Linked DNA regions of Canis lupus familiaris. The protein of the gene in region 2 interacts with the protein of the main gene of each other region in a biochemical or structural test. Links are inferred from orthologs where the notes say so. Each region holds a gene or a part of one and is shown on either strand. Other genes may lie near its edges.

Region 1 (5,014 bases), about 4.9 Mb from region 2:
CACTTTTCCTACAAGGCATCGTGCGAGGTGCGCGTGCTCATGCTCCTGTACTCGTCAGAGAAGAAGATCTTCATCGGCCTCATCCCCCATGACCAGAGCAACTTCGTCAACGGCATCCGGCGTGTCATCGCCAACCAGCAGCAGGTCCTGCAGCGGAACCTGGAGCAGGAGCAGCAGCAGCGCGGGGTGAGGTGGCGAGCTCTCCCCCCAATCCCCTGCCCAGCTACCCCTCCTCACCCCCACCCCTACCACTGATGCCCCTCCCCACTTTCCTCCCCCACAGATGGGGGGGTAGTGGCCACCCCCAGGCTGGGCCCCTCCAGGAGTCACAGACGAGGCCCCCGCCAAAACTGGTGAGTAGCACCCGGCTCGAGCGCAGGAAGGACCCTCAGTGGTGTCCGGGTTTGGGATATGATCATGTGACCCTGGCGTGGAGTTCCAAGCAGAGAGGCGTATCTGTGCCTTGTGGTCCCCAGGGTCTCCTGGGCAAGTATAGCCCTCTCTCCCCCAGGAGGTGATGAAGCTGTGGTTTCCAGGCTGGGATTGGAGGGCCCATGGGGTGCTGGGAGGCCCTGTCCAGGCCCTCCCACTCTCCTCCTGCCCCCAGGTCAGATGCTTCTGAGCAGGGGCCCCTGGGGATGGCTACTGCCCAGCGAGATGGAGGACAGCGTCCGGAGAGGTCTCCGCGGACGGTCCCCACCCCTGTACGTTTCCCCAATAAAGTCTTTTAAAAGCCCGTTGGCCACTAGGCTCCGTGTCCAGATGCCTTGGCAGGGGAGATGCCAGTGGAGCCGAGCGCCATGGGTTCCCAGAAGGCTGATGGCCTAAGGCCCCCTGCCCTAGGCTAGAGTCCCTCAGCTTGATGGGACCCAGGAGTATGAATTTCCATCAGATTTCTGGGGGAGGCCACCTTTCGTGAGGTCACCTGAGCTAGAAGGAAGGACACTCTTCACAGAGCTGCTTGTGCCTTCAGGGGCAGGTGTGTCCCCAGCTGACTGGCCCACGCAGCGGATGGTGGCCCCATCTTCCTGGGCCTCCCTGGAGCTGGCTGGCTGTATTCCTGGGCCCAGGGCCTGCTCTCCTCCATCCTTTGGGATTCAACAGGCCTCACTTGGCTGGCAGCAAACACAGGCCATCCAGGACTTGCTGGGGGTTTGGGGCCTGGCAGGGCTCTCAGCAGCGCCCCCTACTGCTCAGGTCCGGGCTGCCATTCCTCACTCACCAGATTCGGGATCCAGCTCTTGTCCTCAGGGTCACATCATGGGTGCTCCTTGGCTGGCTCTGCAGCTGGGCAGCCCGCGGGTGAGGAAAAGCCCCCGCCCCCACCCCGCACCCCTTTGGGCCCTGCCCCTCTGGATTCCCCACCCTCTGTTTAGGGTGCCCACAGCCACAGTTCTGAGGAAGCCTAAACTACCCTCCCTGGGAAAGGCCTGTGGTCCGAGTGCGCAGCTCAGCGCAGATCCCTGGGGGTCCGTGCCCCGAGGCCTGGGAGGCCGGCAGGTCTGTGCTCCCCCGTCCCCGGGGACTCGCCCGGGTGCCTGTCCTCACTGGGTAGACTACCCTTCTTTCAGCATGATGCTGTCCAAGCTTAAAAAAAAAAAAAAAACAATTTATTGGGGGCAGGGGCAGGGGCAGGGGCGGGGGCGGGGGCGGGGGGGGTGGGGATGCGCAGCTCAGCCCTCTGAGAACTGGCAGTAGAGCCGTTCAAGCCGAGGCTCCAGGTTCAGCCGGAACGGGATTTCCAGGATTGCCGAAAATCCTTCTGCCAGGGTCGGGGCCTCGAACTGCTTTCTGGCAGCAGGGGTGATGGGGGAAGGTGAGACCCAGCTGGGGTCCGGTCCACCCCCCACCTCCTCACCTCCCCACTAGGCTTCTGTGTTTACCTGTAGCCATACATGACCACATCGGACACGGGGGCGTGAGAGGAGCCCGTCATCTCTCGGAACTGCAGGGGGTGGGGGTTGGGGTTAGGTCTGGGAATTGGGGGCCTGGAGGCGGTCGGGACGGCAGGGGCAGGGGCCAGCTTACCCGGTTATTGTGGCGTGCATGCTCCAGGGTGGTGCTGAAGAGGAAGCAGCGGCAGGGCACACCTGCGTCTCGGGCACACTTAATGTACCTGTTGGGGCCAGGAAGGGGCCAGGCTGGTAAGGGGTGCTGAGCCCACCCTATAGAGGCTGCCCATGGGAGCCCAGTACCTGGCCCGGGTCGGAGGGTCTGGGTTTGTGTTGTCAATCACAACCCGTTTCCTCTGCTTTAGAGCATTCTCACACGTGGTCACGCAGCGCTGCCATGAGCCCAGGGTGTCCTGGGGGATACAAGGTGACAGACCCTGAGTGGGAGAGGGCAGGAGAAACAAGGGAAGCAGACACCTAGGGAGAACCTAGGTGGGGTAGGGAATGGGCACAGAAGATGGAAGGATCAGGGACTCTGCGCTCAGCCTGGGCACATTGGGGGGGGGCCTGTCTCACCCTGTTCACGTGCACGTATCCTGCTGACACAAGATGCTCTTGGAGGAAGGTGGACTTGCCAGCTGTGAGGCAGGGGCAAGGTCAGTGGGGGCCCAAGGACCCAGAGCTGGACTGGGGCTTCTGAGGTCAAGGGGTCAAGGTGTCTCACCCCCAGGAAATCCCACGGCGACAACCACTTCAGGGTCGTGGCTCAAGAGGGAGCTGGACTCCGGGAGGCAAAGCGGCCCCGAGGGGGAGACGGTTCTCTGGGAGGGGTGGTAGTGATGAGCAAGACCCTCTCCTCCTCTCCCGACTCCCACTCCCACCCCGAAGGCCTCACCGGGTCAAAGGTGGGGAGCACGAAGTTGGCAACGGGCCACTTGAGAAAGAACTCCTCTGGTGTGGCGAAGGGCAGGCCAAGGTTGAGAGCAAACTGGCGGGGAGGGGACGACAGGGGACACAGACATCAGATAAGGTGGGGACACAGCTCCAGGCCAGCAGGGGAAAGGAGCCTCACCAGACGGTCTGCACAAGAGAAGTCTTTCTTCTTTCGGCCAGGGGCCCAGTTGGCTGGTCGTCCAGCTGCATCTGGGACAGAAGACAGCTCCATGTCCACCAGCGGCCCAGCCGAGGGGATCCACACACTCCCCATCCCTGGGTCCTTACCTCCCACGAACATGCTGTCCCCGATGGAGACAGGCACACCTTCGTTGCCCTAGGGAGGGACAGGTGACAACAGGCAGTAAGGAACCCACCCACTCCCATGCCTGCTCCCCTAGAATACTAATGGGGGTTGCGAGGATGCTGAGCTGGGCCTGACGTCTGGCCTCTCCTGCCCCAGTTCAGCATCATATCCTGGTGGCACGTCTGGCCTCTCCTGCCCCAGTTCAGCATCATATCCTGGTGGCGCTGCCACTGCTGGGCCACTTCCTACCCCCCTTCACTGTTCCATCCCCATTGCGTCTGTTCCCTACACAGCCACCAGGGGGGTGTCAGTTCCCACTTCTGTAGATTCCTCTCCTCCCAGCCCTCCTGGGCCCCATCCCTTTGCCCCCTGGCTGGGTAAAAGGGAAGACCTTACCTTACCCACAAGGCCTCACGATCTGACACCTGCCCGATCTCTGACCCTACGCCCCACCCTTACCCCATCATCCATTCAGGTCCTGCTACCCAGGCCTCTTCACTGTCCCTGAACACACTAGTCATAGCCCTGCCTCGGGACCTTTACATGTGCTTTACACATGCTGTTACTCCCACCTGGAAGCTCTTCCTAGGTTCCCCTGCGAGGCTCCCTCCCTCACTAGCTTCATAATTACAAGGGCACCTTGGAGAGGCCTACCTAACCCCTGTAGGTAAACCCTGCCTCACCTCACTTCACTCCCACCATTTCACACCCAGTCTGTGCACCTCTAGTCTGCACCCTCGCTGGTATGTGAGCCCCAGCAGGTCTGTCTCATACGCTAACAAATTCAGCTCAAGAAGCTGTTGAGCTTCAGAACAAAGGCACACACAAGAGAATACATGGACAACTGATGTGTCCCTGGACCATCCTGATCTTCAGAGTTGAAGAGTGCTGTCCGCCTGTACCTAGACTGGGACTGGTGGAAAAGGAGGCAAGGACCAGGGAATGAGATGAGAAGAGGAGAGAGGAGGTGGCCAAACAGCAGAGACCTGTGGCAGGGGGAGGCTGGGCTGAGTGAGGGAAGAAGGGAGCTACTGGGAGGCCACCACTCACCTGTTCCCGCAGATGGTCCCACATGCCGATCACTGGCTTCCGGTACAAGCCGGCGTGTGTGGCCACCAGCACCTGTGGGTGAAGGTCAGACACCCTCCTGGGCTCCTTCCCCAAATCCTTCGAGGGTGCATGGGTGCCAGGGATGCTACCCCTTCACCAACCCAGAGGACTCCAGATGCCCAAGAACCCATTTATGATGGGTTTCTACCAGCATAACCCTGCCGGGGGGCCTCCACTGCCTTCTGGTACGTATGCCTTCTCCCTGGGTCTCTGTTCCCTCCTCTCTGTCACGGTCTGACACCGTGACACTAACTCTGTCCCTGCCTCTGTCTGGGTCCCTGTCCCCCAACCTCTATGACTCAAGCTCCCTTGCAGCCATACCTGAAAGGGGAGGCCCAGTTTCTCCACCACAGCCTCCACTTTAGCCTTGAACTCCTCTGCCGGCAGCTTCCCGCGCCCAATGGCCATCTGGTTGGTGAAGATCACCAGCTGGGGGGGGGAAGCATGGATGTCACCTGGTGCCCTTCTCAGTGGGGCCCCAGCCTCCCTGTGGCCTGGTCTCCATGCACAAAAGCACACATACCTTGTAGCCTTCGGCATCCAGCTCCCGGAGCTTACGTGGAATCTCCAGGTATAAGATCCTAGGGTGGGTGGGAAAGCAGGTAGGTGACCTGGGGCCCACGGGGGCCTCACTCACCCCCTTGGTCTGCCTCTTATCACCTCCAGTCGGTGGGGCCGGTGGGAAAGACTTTCCCAGAGCGTGTGGTGATGAGGGTCCCGTCCAAATCAAAGCCAGCCACCTGATGTCAGCAAGAAAAGAGGAACAGCGACC
Region 2 (4,873 bases):
GAATAAAGTATTTAAAAAAAAAAAAAAAAAGAGGGGCAGCCCAGGTGGCTCAGCGGTTTAGCACCGCCTTCAGTCCAGGGCGTGATCCTGGAGACCCGGGATCGAGTCCCACATCAGGTTCCCTGCATGGAGTCTGCTTCTCCCTCTGCCTGTGTCTCTGCCTCTCTCTCCTCTCTGTGTATTTAAATAAACAATTAAAAAATCTTAAAAAAAAAAAAAAAAAAGAATACAGAAGACAAGGGGAAAAGACAAGAAAGCAGATTTCCCCCAGAGCCTCCAAAGGAACACAGCCCTGCCTACACCCTGAATTTTAGCCCCGTAGACCCATTTTGGATGTGAGACATCCAGACCTGGAAAGTTCTAAGTTTCCGTGGGCTTAAGACACTAAGTTTATGGTCATTTGTTATTGAGATCTGACTGTTCCAACCCCTTCCTGACCTTCCCAGCTCCAGGATAACATCCACGCTTCTCAACCTGGTGTTCACAGCCCTTCGGGACAGCCCTGTCCTTTTGCTTCTATAGTGAAGCAAATGTACTCTATCTGTGCTCTCTATTACAGCAGCCACAGAACACCTGCAGGGTAGCCAGTGTCATCAACAGAGTAAAATTTCCCCTTCATTTCATTGCAGTTCATTTATAGTTACCCAGGTCCACAGGCTACCATGTTAGCAAAGCTGCAAAGACTATGTCCATCCTTCCAGACAGATCTGCCCCTAAAGCCTCTTAAGCAACTGACCCCAGGGAGCCAGGCCTTTGCCCATGCCCCGGCCCCTGCCTAGAACTCCATCCTACCTTCCGTCCACTTCTCTAACACTTGCCCAGTTCCCAACTTAAATGTGGTGGAGGCTTGAGGGGGCTCAAATGCCCCTTCCCCCTGTTCTACCATGCTGGGGACAGTTCCACAACCACTTCTGAAAGCCCTGAAAAAAAGGGAGATATCCCTGGCCCCGGGGGAGCTGGGAAGCACACCTCACGAGCATCTAGGCCTCCAGCCCAGGACTCAGAAAGGGACAAACAAGACCTAGGAATGGGCTCAATGGGTTAGAATCCCAATTCCCGGCCACCTGCCACTACAGGGGTAAGTTGCCAGGGAGAAGTGACAAAGAGCTCCTTCCCTATCTAACCCCTGAAAGAGAGCCCCTCATTCTTTCTAGGACCCCAGGGCAGGGGTCTTAAGGCAGCCAAGACACCTGACCCTCAGAAGGGAAGCAAAAACCAAACTTATGACAACAATCTGGGGCCCTCTAGGAGGTTCAGGAGATTTCTGAGTAAGAGGGGCAGCTACTCCAAACCAGATCACCTTTATTGAGCTCATCTTGTGTGTGCGCGCGCGCTCAAGCATGTGCAAGTGCATGCAAGCACATACTCTAGGCCTGGGGCACCACCCCATAAAGCTGGTGGGGAAGTAACTTCTGCTTCTCGTTGCAACTGTAGATCCATCGGGGCCGGACAAACACCAAGGAGGGGTTGTCCATCAGGGCCTGCAGGGTGGGGAGGGGTGAATACAGGAACATGTGAGTGAGGTGATGGTGGAGGTGACACAAGGGCGGGCTGGGTGTCCCTTTCCCCACCCCTCTGGAGCTCACCTCCTCAAAACTGGGGTCCCACTCTTGTGCAGTGATCACAAACTGGACCCGGTCACTCATATAGTCCTCAAGTTCCCTGGCAGGAGGCAGAGAGTCAGTGTCTCTTCTCCTGACATCCGACTCCTCAACCATTCTCCAAGGCTGTCTTCCCTTCATCCTCACCTCCATTCCCTACGGGCTACCCTGTGGGCCCCCACTCTCCCCGAGCCAGCCTTGCCACAGCCACAATACCAAGGGCTCCCACTACTGCTAATCCTTTCAGAAGGTGAGCAGGAAGAGGGGGCCTCATTGTAGAGAAGAGGAAGAGAGGGAAAGTTATACATCCCGGGGGGCCCAGCAGAGCAAGCAGAGCCTGTGCCCATCCAGCAGGCTGTACCCCTTCTCCATCTTCCCAATCGCCTTCCTTCCCACAACTTAGCATAATCCCTCTCTGCCCTCGCCCCCACCCCTGGAGACTGACCCATTGAAGGCTGTGACATATCGCCTGAGCTTCCGCCGCTCGTCCCCAGGGAATTCTCCGTACAAGAAGAAGTGTTTGCCCTGGAAGAAGTCTGCAGGAAAGATGGTGGAGGTGCCAAGTGTGAGGCGCCTGGAGTTTCAAAGCACCAGCCAGGAGCCACAGAGCACTTGAAGGCAAGACCCGAAGGAGGCCAGTATAGTGGCTGGGAGGCCTGTTCATTCATGCCCTGGCAGAGACATTTGTCACAAACGGTGATTCTCAGCCAGGCCCATAGAACTTTTCTGGGAACTGGAGTTTTGTTTTGTTTTGCTTTGCTTTCATGGTGAGAGACAAAATGACTATTACTGCTATGTGTTTCTTCCATGAGGTACATCACAGATGGGCTGGTGGCACCTAGCTCATGTGGCCCAGTTCACAGCCTTAGAGCCTGTCACTTGCTCACCCTGGCTGTCACAGTCCTCTACCAGCCAGTGCCTTCCCCGGCTCTGACCTTCAGGACACCTCTGTTCTTTGTTCCATCTTAACATAGTTCTCCAAATCATCAATCTGCGGATGACACTTTTGGGGCTTTGGAGGATCAAAGCACTTTCCTGCCCATCAGACCCACAGGGAACCGTATAGAAATAGCCTCTTCCAGTTGCCACTGACCCTCACCTCTGTGCAGACCCTGGCTGCCTAGCTCCTCCCTCCATTCTCTGTTGGCCAAGGTTCTCACCCCTGCCTGTCCCATGCCCCCTGCACTCATGTTAGGAGGACAAATAGCAATGCCATCACCACTGAGGCCCCAAGAGACCCATGCCCATGTCACCTGTGTGCCTGGGTGACCTCCCATGCTGACAGACCTGAACCCGAGAGGCAGGTGAAGGAGGCACCATTGGCACTTGAGTAGAAAGCCAGAGGGGGTCATGCCCAGCCCTGGGCTGTGATGGAGGCGGTCACAGCAGGAAGTCAGGAGGGGGAACAGAGAGGGAAGTCATAAGAGGGTGTCTGCTTCCTAAGACAACAAAAAGGTAGCAGAGGCAGGGATTATGGGGGAAGGAGGTGGGGAGACAAATCACAAGTCATGGGAAGCAGCCTCAATCCAAGGGTTGGGTGGTGGGAGTCACAGCTGAGAACTGAGAAAGGCAGATCCCATGTAAGGAGGCAGGGAGGGATTTCCTACCTGGGAGCTCGGGAACTGGCAGGTCAGGAGACTCTGGGGGACCCTCGTGGTCTGTGTTCTCGTCTGTGGATCCTGCATACGGGTCCTCACCATTTTCCCCCTGGTCAGGGGGCTGCTTCTGTTCCCTCTGCTCAGCCACCCTGGGAGAGACAACAGGGCGTGGGGGAAGAGCATGCAGACCAGATCCCCCTCCACCCAAGTCTGGGACTACCTCGACACCCCCAGCCCCACCTTACCTTCTCAGCTCATCCTCGGTATCCCCAGAATCTTCTGCCCCATTGCCCTGTTCTTCTGCAAGTGGAAGCTTGGTCAATGAAGGGCACGTGTTTGGTAACCTTCCTTCTTGGTCTCTCGCCCAAGCACAGATGCAGGCATGCCAGGCCTCAACCTCAACTGCCCTCCAGATCCAGTTATCTGGGACTTCAGCCTCCCCTCCCCTAGGTCCACTGTCTGGGATCCAGCCCTACCTCCCTTAGATACAGGAGTCTGGGTTTCCAGCCATCTTCTCCCTCAGATGCAGGAGTCCAGGCCCCAGCCCCTTCTCCTCCCTTCAGATCTGAAGGATCTCATCCCTCTCTTCTCCAAGAACCCAGCAGTCCAGGTCCCCAGCCCCCTCTTCTCTCAGGCTTAAGACCTAAAACCCCTTCCCTCCCTCAGACCCAAGAGTCCAGGCCCCCAACCCCTCCTCCCTTAGGTTCTGACCTGACTGCTCCCCCTCACTGTCCGTATCTTCCTGGGGCCCTGGTGAGGCTGGTTTGGTCTCTTCTGGGGTTTTGGGTCTCTGGGGTGAGCTGGGTCCTGCTGCCTGAGGCAGCTTAGTTTTGGTCTGGGGGCGCTGAGAAGGGAAGGCAGCATGGGTATGAGTATGTGTTCTTGCTGAAGACAAGGATGGAGAGTCTGGGGTTCCACAACAGACCCATGTCTTCCTCCCACTGCACCTTCCCCACCATGGCAGGGGGCATAGGACCTTTTGGGGAAGCTTGGGGGCCTCATCCCCGCTGCTGCCGCTGTGAGAGCCCCCCTCATCCTCACTGCTGGAGCTTGGTCCTGCCATGAGGTACCTAGGAGGAGGAATCAGGCCTCAGACAAACGGCATATCGTGTCCTCCAGAGGATATGAGGTGGGCGTGGGGGCCAGTGCTCAGGAAGCCACAGCAAATGGCATTTACTAATCATTCAGGATGCCCTGGCTTCCAGGTTTGGAAGGGCCCCACTGAACCCATCAGTCACCACAGCCACCCACAGCAGAGACATGGGCCTCACTGGCTTGCTTCCCCGCCCTCTTGGGAAAGAAATGCCCCATTTCAGAAAGGAAAAAAACAACAACAACCCAGAAATAATTTTCCCCTTTGAGAATCAAAAGCAGTTTCTCATTAGGAGAATACCTATCAGTCAAGGGAAAATCCTCAAAAGCAAATATGTTTTTAAAGACCTTGACACTATATTCATGGCATGGGACCTTAAGTGGCTGACACTCCAGGAGAAGGGGTCCCTAGCTCTATCACAACAAGAACAGCTGATGCTTACATGGGATTTCCCACATGCTAGGCACATGCGCCTTTTGCAGCAATTTCTCCAGCCTGCCATGCTTCTCAGTCTCCCTAAGCAGACTTCACAGAGCCCTGAGACCCTGGGAAAGTCCTCCCTCCTCCTCAGCAGCCGTGCA
Region 3 (5,065 bases), on a different chromosome or scaffold from region 2:
TTCATTGCCTCAGGGTAGTCAAGGGATCTTCTATTGTCCCTTGGATCCTTACTGTAGATATTTCACAGAAATCATCCCAGGCCAAACTTGTACAAAATGCTAATATGCAAGGTACTCATCATATATAAAGCAAACAGGTAACTAAATGCAGAGGAATTTTTTTTTCTTCCAAATGCTATTTTATTCACAGGAAGAAAAACTCAATTACCTGAAGATCATGGCTTTACAAGAAGATCTGGAATATTAACCTTGGCTTTCCTAAGGTTTGGTGACTATTAGTTTGAAGGAATTCATGTTTTGAGGAGTACTTCAACAACACATGAATGGTCATATGTTTAACACAGCAGTCAGTGGTTACAGCAACAAGAGGTTTTGAAATCAAGTGGATGTGGAATGAAAATGGTTGATTCCACTTTGATGTTTTGTTTTTTTATAATCTCTAGGCCCAACATTGGCTCAAAGTCACAACCCTGAGATCAAGAGTCACATGCTCCACTGAGCCAGCAAGGTGCCCAGCTCTATTCCACTTTGTAAGTGGAATTCATTTTGCTGCCAATTTCTTTCAGAAACAGATCTCATCTTTTTTGGCTATTTCTGCTAAATGCCCACGCCCCCTCCTCACTGCTCTGGCTCCAGCCCTGCTCTCTGGCTAGCTCCCTTACCTCAAGCCCTCCCCAAGACTCCTCCCCTCACACTGGCTGCTTTGGATCATCCTATTCAATGATATAAGAATATCTAGTTTCTTTGCAACTAGAAACAAATCACCTCTTAATGCTTCCACAATAAATTGATTTGAAAGCTAAACTGGATTGCTCCTTATCCTAACATATACTAATTATAAATGTCAAAACAGGCTCAAACATGGCATTTTTTAAGCTTCAGAGAATATGAGACACATGTACAGTATCCAAACTTCATACACAAGCTATTCACTAAGATGGATTCCTATGACACAACATAAAGGCCTTAGTTTTCTCGACTTTAAAAACAAACAAAAAACCCACTTGCTTATTTTTTTTAACCTGTTTCCTTCTGGAAATCGATTTGAGGTATTCTCTTTCTGGCGATAGCTGTAGATGTGCTGTTAGGAGTATGATTGAGAGATTGGAAAGGCCAGCCAGAGCAAAGGTTTCCACAAGTCCAGCCCTGGCCTAGGATCGGTCAGTTGGCCTTAGTCTTTCAAGTATCACATGTATGATAAGATCTGAACCAAAGTGGTTTGCAGAAGTCACTGGAATTAGGCTGCTAGACAAAAGTCTTCTCTTCTACGGCTGAGCAGCTACCCAAGTCCACCACTGCCAGCAACTCTTCATGTTCACATCTTTGTGGCTACCCACCTTTCCTTTCCACCTTATACCCAGCCTACCAACTTGTTTCTTTGTATTCTTACTAGCTGGATTACTAGCTTCTGCTAATGTTTCCTCTGGATCTCCCTCTGAGCAAAGAAGAAAACTGTTCAGACTGCGAAGAAGTGCGTCTGCTACTGCATTGCATAAACACCTTCTTGGTCGCTCTCAAAAGAGCTGATGTGCTTCTCCAGTAAAAGTCTAGGGCCTTTCACAGAGATGCCCAGGCATACCAGGACACTTTCCTGACTGAAAAAAAAAAAAATTCAACTTGTCTAGCACATGCTATTTTCAGGATTTTATCTGATTGAATTGTTCTTTAAATGTAAGATTTGTGCACATTCATTTTGAATGAATTAAAATCAATCTCAATTTAAAAGTGATATTCCTAGAGCATATATAAACCCTATTTTTAATAACATCTCATGTGTCTATAATCCTGGGCCTAGAGTAAAAGCTCCAAATCTGATAGATCTGGGAGAAGAGCTCATAGATTTAACTTCCAAACACTGACTAGAATTTTTACCTTTCCCAACATTCTTTTGAAAACACTATAAAATATGACCAACTTTGGCAATACAGTTTCATACCCCATTAAAATCACCACGTTGAATTTAATGACATGATTTTTTGTGGTCTGATGAAATATACACTACATAAAGTTTGCCATTTTAACCATTTTTAAGTGTGCAGTTCTATACCATTAAGTATATTCACATTGTTGTGCAACTACCACCACCATCACCTCCCAAACGTTTCCTCCTCCCCAACTGAAATTCTGTATCTGTTACATAGTAATTCCCTATACCACTTCCCTATAGGCCCCTGGCAAGCACCATTCCACTTTCTGAATGACAGGATATTTCAATGATCTATCTCAACTATCTTCTACTGTTGGTTTAAACCACTGTCAAATCTATGCAGTGAGACTCTTGCTAATATTAACATGTCCATTCTCCAAAAGCACATTCTCTTTCCATTTCAGGCATATAACTTGGGAAAAGGGGGATTAAAAGTACAAATTTAAGTGAGCACTTTTTATTACCTTAGTCCTAGATTGCTATTTGCCTTCCTGTTGGTTTTTATGCAGGGACTTTTTTTTTTTTTTTTTTAAGATTTTATTTATTTATTCATGAGAGACACAGAGAGAGACAGAGAGAGAGAGAGAGAGAGAGAGAGAGAGGCAGAGACACAGGCAGAGGGAGAAGCAGGCTCCATGCAGGGAGCCCGATGTGGGACTTGATCCCAGAACTCCAGGATCACGCCCTGAGCCGAAGGCCAGCGCTAAACCACTGAGCCACCCAGGGATCCCCAATGCAGGGACACTTATTAACCTCTTTTTTAACTCATTTGCCATCTGTCTTGAATCTTCAAAGCTTAATTCCCTAAGAAGATTACAGGATTTTAACAGTTCGTCATGATGTCACTGTGAAAATCTTTGCAAGTGTCTCTCTGTTAACTCCTCTGCTTATCAAGCCACATAATTTGTTTTTATCACATACTCTAATTTCTTCTCTTTGGTGTTGTAACAGATTTTTTTTTTTTTTTTTTTGGTGTTGTAACAGATTAATATTCTTCAAAAAATTCTTCTCACTTACTGAAGTTGAGTCAGAGAATATGAGAATATTTGCTATTTTAAGGAAAAACTTAGATGTGTCAAAGTCATTTATAGATATCTTTTAAAAAGAGCAGATTACGCCTAATTATGTATTCCAATGGCACAGATTATTTACAAATAGGGAACTTAAAATTCTTTACTAAAATATTCTGGGAGTAGTATCCTGCTAATTTTCTGTATATTTTCATGGATATCCTATTTATTGACTGTAATACTAAGATGCACTGAGGTCACATACTCAGAATGGTTACTGAACAGTTTTCCAAGGTATTTTTTCAGAAGTGTTACCTCCAATGAGTACTTACCATGAACTTTGTTTCTCCTTTTGACAGAGTATCTGTAATAAAATGGACCTTCTGTAACTGTTCCACAACACGATGTAACAGTTTTGGCTGTGGAAACATAAATAGGAAATAAGAAGATTAATAAGATTAATAAAAAAACATTTTTAACATAAATTTTCTGATTATCTATGGAGAAATGCCTAGTATTCCTCTGTTCTAAGTACTTTTTTCTTCTAGCACAAAATTCATTTATCAAATGAAACATATTTTTAGGAGCCACCATTCTTCACCAATATCATGATACCCCCAAACAGACATCATTTGTGTTTATCTGCTTCATTAAATCAAAAAGTTAGCTGCTTCATCTTTAAAAGGTATATATTCTAAAATCACAAATGTTTTGCTTTCATGGGTTTTCTAATAGGAATAAAGTTTCTTAATATAATATTGCTTAATAGAAAAATATTACCTTAATGAAAACCTCAATATTATACTGGATATTTTAGAAATATCCATGATAGATAATAAATAATTCTGGAAATGTTTACTAAATTTTTTTCTTTTTCAAAAATCAGACTGTCCCTAATTCCCTGCAGAAAAACACCACTATGTATTCCCTTGCTTTTTTTTTTTTTTTTTAAATGTATCCCTTTCAACCACTTACTCTGCCTTTCACAGAATTCAATCAGTACAAAGTACAACTGACTTTTCAGAAAGATTAAAACAAAAATTCATTCCGGGATATCCAACTGCCATGTAGAAAATGATATTCACTGTTGCATAAGACTTAGCACATTTGATTATAAATAAATCCTGTGATACCTGTTTGGCTGATTCAGAGGTAAAGCTTGGATGGGTCAAAAGAACATCCATGTCACCACTGGACTCTGCACCTATGATAATAAAAATATGTATGGAATTCTCGATGTAAATCTATCAATTAGGCAAACGCAGAAACCAAAGTGATGTCACATGTATGAGCTTACTTCTTCCAGCCTAACTTTCTTTTTCACTACACTTCATACTCAGTTACAAGATTTCAATTTTCTGTTCAGCTATTCACATAGGCTGATGTAAATGGAAGAATCTGGAGTAACAACAGTAACTGGCATTAGATATGTATTACGCACAGTTGGCTACATGTATTAAAAATGCACCTAAATAACTACTCAATAATGAATAAAAACAACATTCTTACAAAGAAGACATTCAGATGGCCAAGAGACACACCAAAAGATGCCCATCATCTGGGAAATGCAAATCAAAACCACAATGAGATACCACTTCAAACCTGTCAGAATGGCTAACATTAGCAACACTAGAAACAACAGGTGTTGGCGAGGACATGGAACAAGGGGAACCCTCTTGCACTGTTGGTGGGAGTGCAAACTAATGCAGCCACTCTGGAACACAGTATAGAGGTTCTCCCAAAAATTAAAAATAAAATTGCCAATAAATTAATTAATTAATAAAATAAAATAAAATAAAATAAAATAACCATATGATCCAGTAGTTCTACTGCTAGGTAGTTACCCAACAAAAAACACTAATTCATAAAGATAACATGCACTCCTATGTTTACTGAAACATTATTTACAAAAGCCAAGAATCGGAAGCAACCAAGTTTCCATCAATAGATGACCAAGCAGTCCATCGACAGATGAATGAAGATATGGTAAATACACACAATAGAATATTACTTAGCCATAAAAAAACCCACGAATCTTGCCATTTGCAACAACATGGATGGATGCAGAGGATATTATGCTAAGTGAAGTAAATCAGTCATAGAAAGACAATTACCATATGATTTCACT

The links.
Region 1: the proteins of XRCC1 (region 2) and PNKP form a complex in vitro, tested with the Homo sapiens proteins (3 studies listed by BioGRID and IntAct, with this or other methods). The link is inferred for Canis lupus familiaris from reciprocal best matches to the Homo sapiens genes XRCC1 and PNKP.
Region 3: the proteins of XRCC1 (region 2) and POLB form a complex in vitro, tested with the Homo sapiens proteins (5 studies listed by BioGRID, with this or other methods). The link is inferred for Canis lupus familiaris from reciprocal best matches to the Homo sapiens genes XRCC1 and POLB.

What each region holds. Positions count from the first base shown.
Region 1 is NC_049222.1:107,374,170-107,379,183, reverse strand, and holds the end of PNKP (bifunctional polynucleotide phosphatase/kinase), read right to left. Parts: intron 4,983-5,014; coding exon 4,903-4,982; intron 4,824-4,902; coding exon 4,766-4,823; intron 4,672-4,765; coding exon 4,564-4,671; intron 4,255-4,563; coding exon 4,183-4,254; intron 3,163-4,182; coding exon 3,114-3,162; intron 3,036-3,113; coding exon 2,965-3,035; intron 2,881-2,964; coding exon 2,788-2,880; intron 2,714-2,787; coding exon 2,617-2,713; intron 2,531-2,616; coding exon 2,469-2,530; intron 2,306-2,468; coding exon 2,196-2,305; intron 2,117-2,195; coding exon 2,029-2,116; intron 1,946-2,028; coding exon 1,884-1,945; intron 1,792-1,883; coding exon 1,674-1,791; 3' UTR 1,635-1,673; downstream 1-1,634. Other genes in the region: PTOV1 (prostate tumor-overexpressed gene 1 protein), read left to right, coding at 1-186, 284-295. UniProt on the Homo sapiens protein: Plays a key role in the repair of DNA damage, functioning as part of both the non-homologous end-joining (NHEJ) and base excision repair (BER) pathways.
Region 2 is NC_049222.1:112,284,578-112,289,450, reverse strand, and holds the end of XRCC1 (DNA repair protein XRCC1), read right to left. Parts: intron 4,270-4,873; coding exon 4,176-4,269; intron 4,044-4,175; coding exon 3,911-4,043; intron 3,500-3,910; coding exon 3,445-3,499; intron 3,349-3,444; coding exon 3,209-3,348; intron 2,138-3,208; coding exon 2,047-2,137; intron 1,663-2,046; coding exon 1,587-1,662; intron 1,482-1,586; coding exon 1,368-1,481; 3' UTR 1,283-1,367; downstream 1-1,282. UniProt on the Homo sapiens protein: Scaffold protein involved in DNA single-strand break repair by mediating the assembly of DNA break repair protein complexes. Negatively regulates ADP-ribosyltransferase activity of PARP1 during base-excision repair in order to prevent excessive PARP1 activity.
Region 3 is NC_049237.1:24,043,632-24,048,696, forward strand, and holds part of POLB (DNA polymerase beta), read right to left. Parts: intron 4,142-5,065; coding exon 4,071-4,141; intron 3,357-4,070; coding exon 3,270-3,356; intron 1-3,269.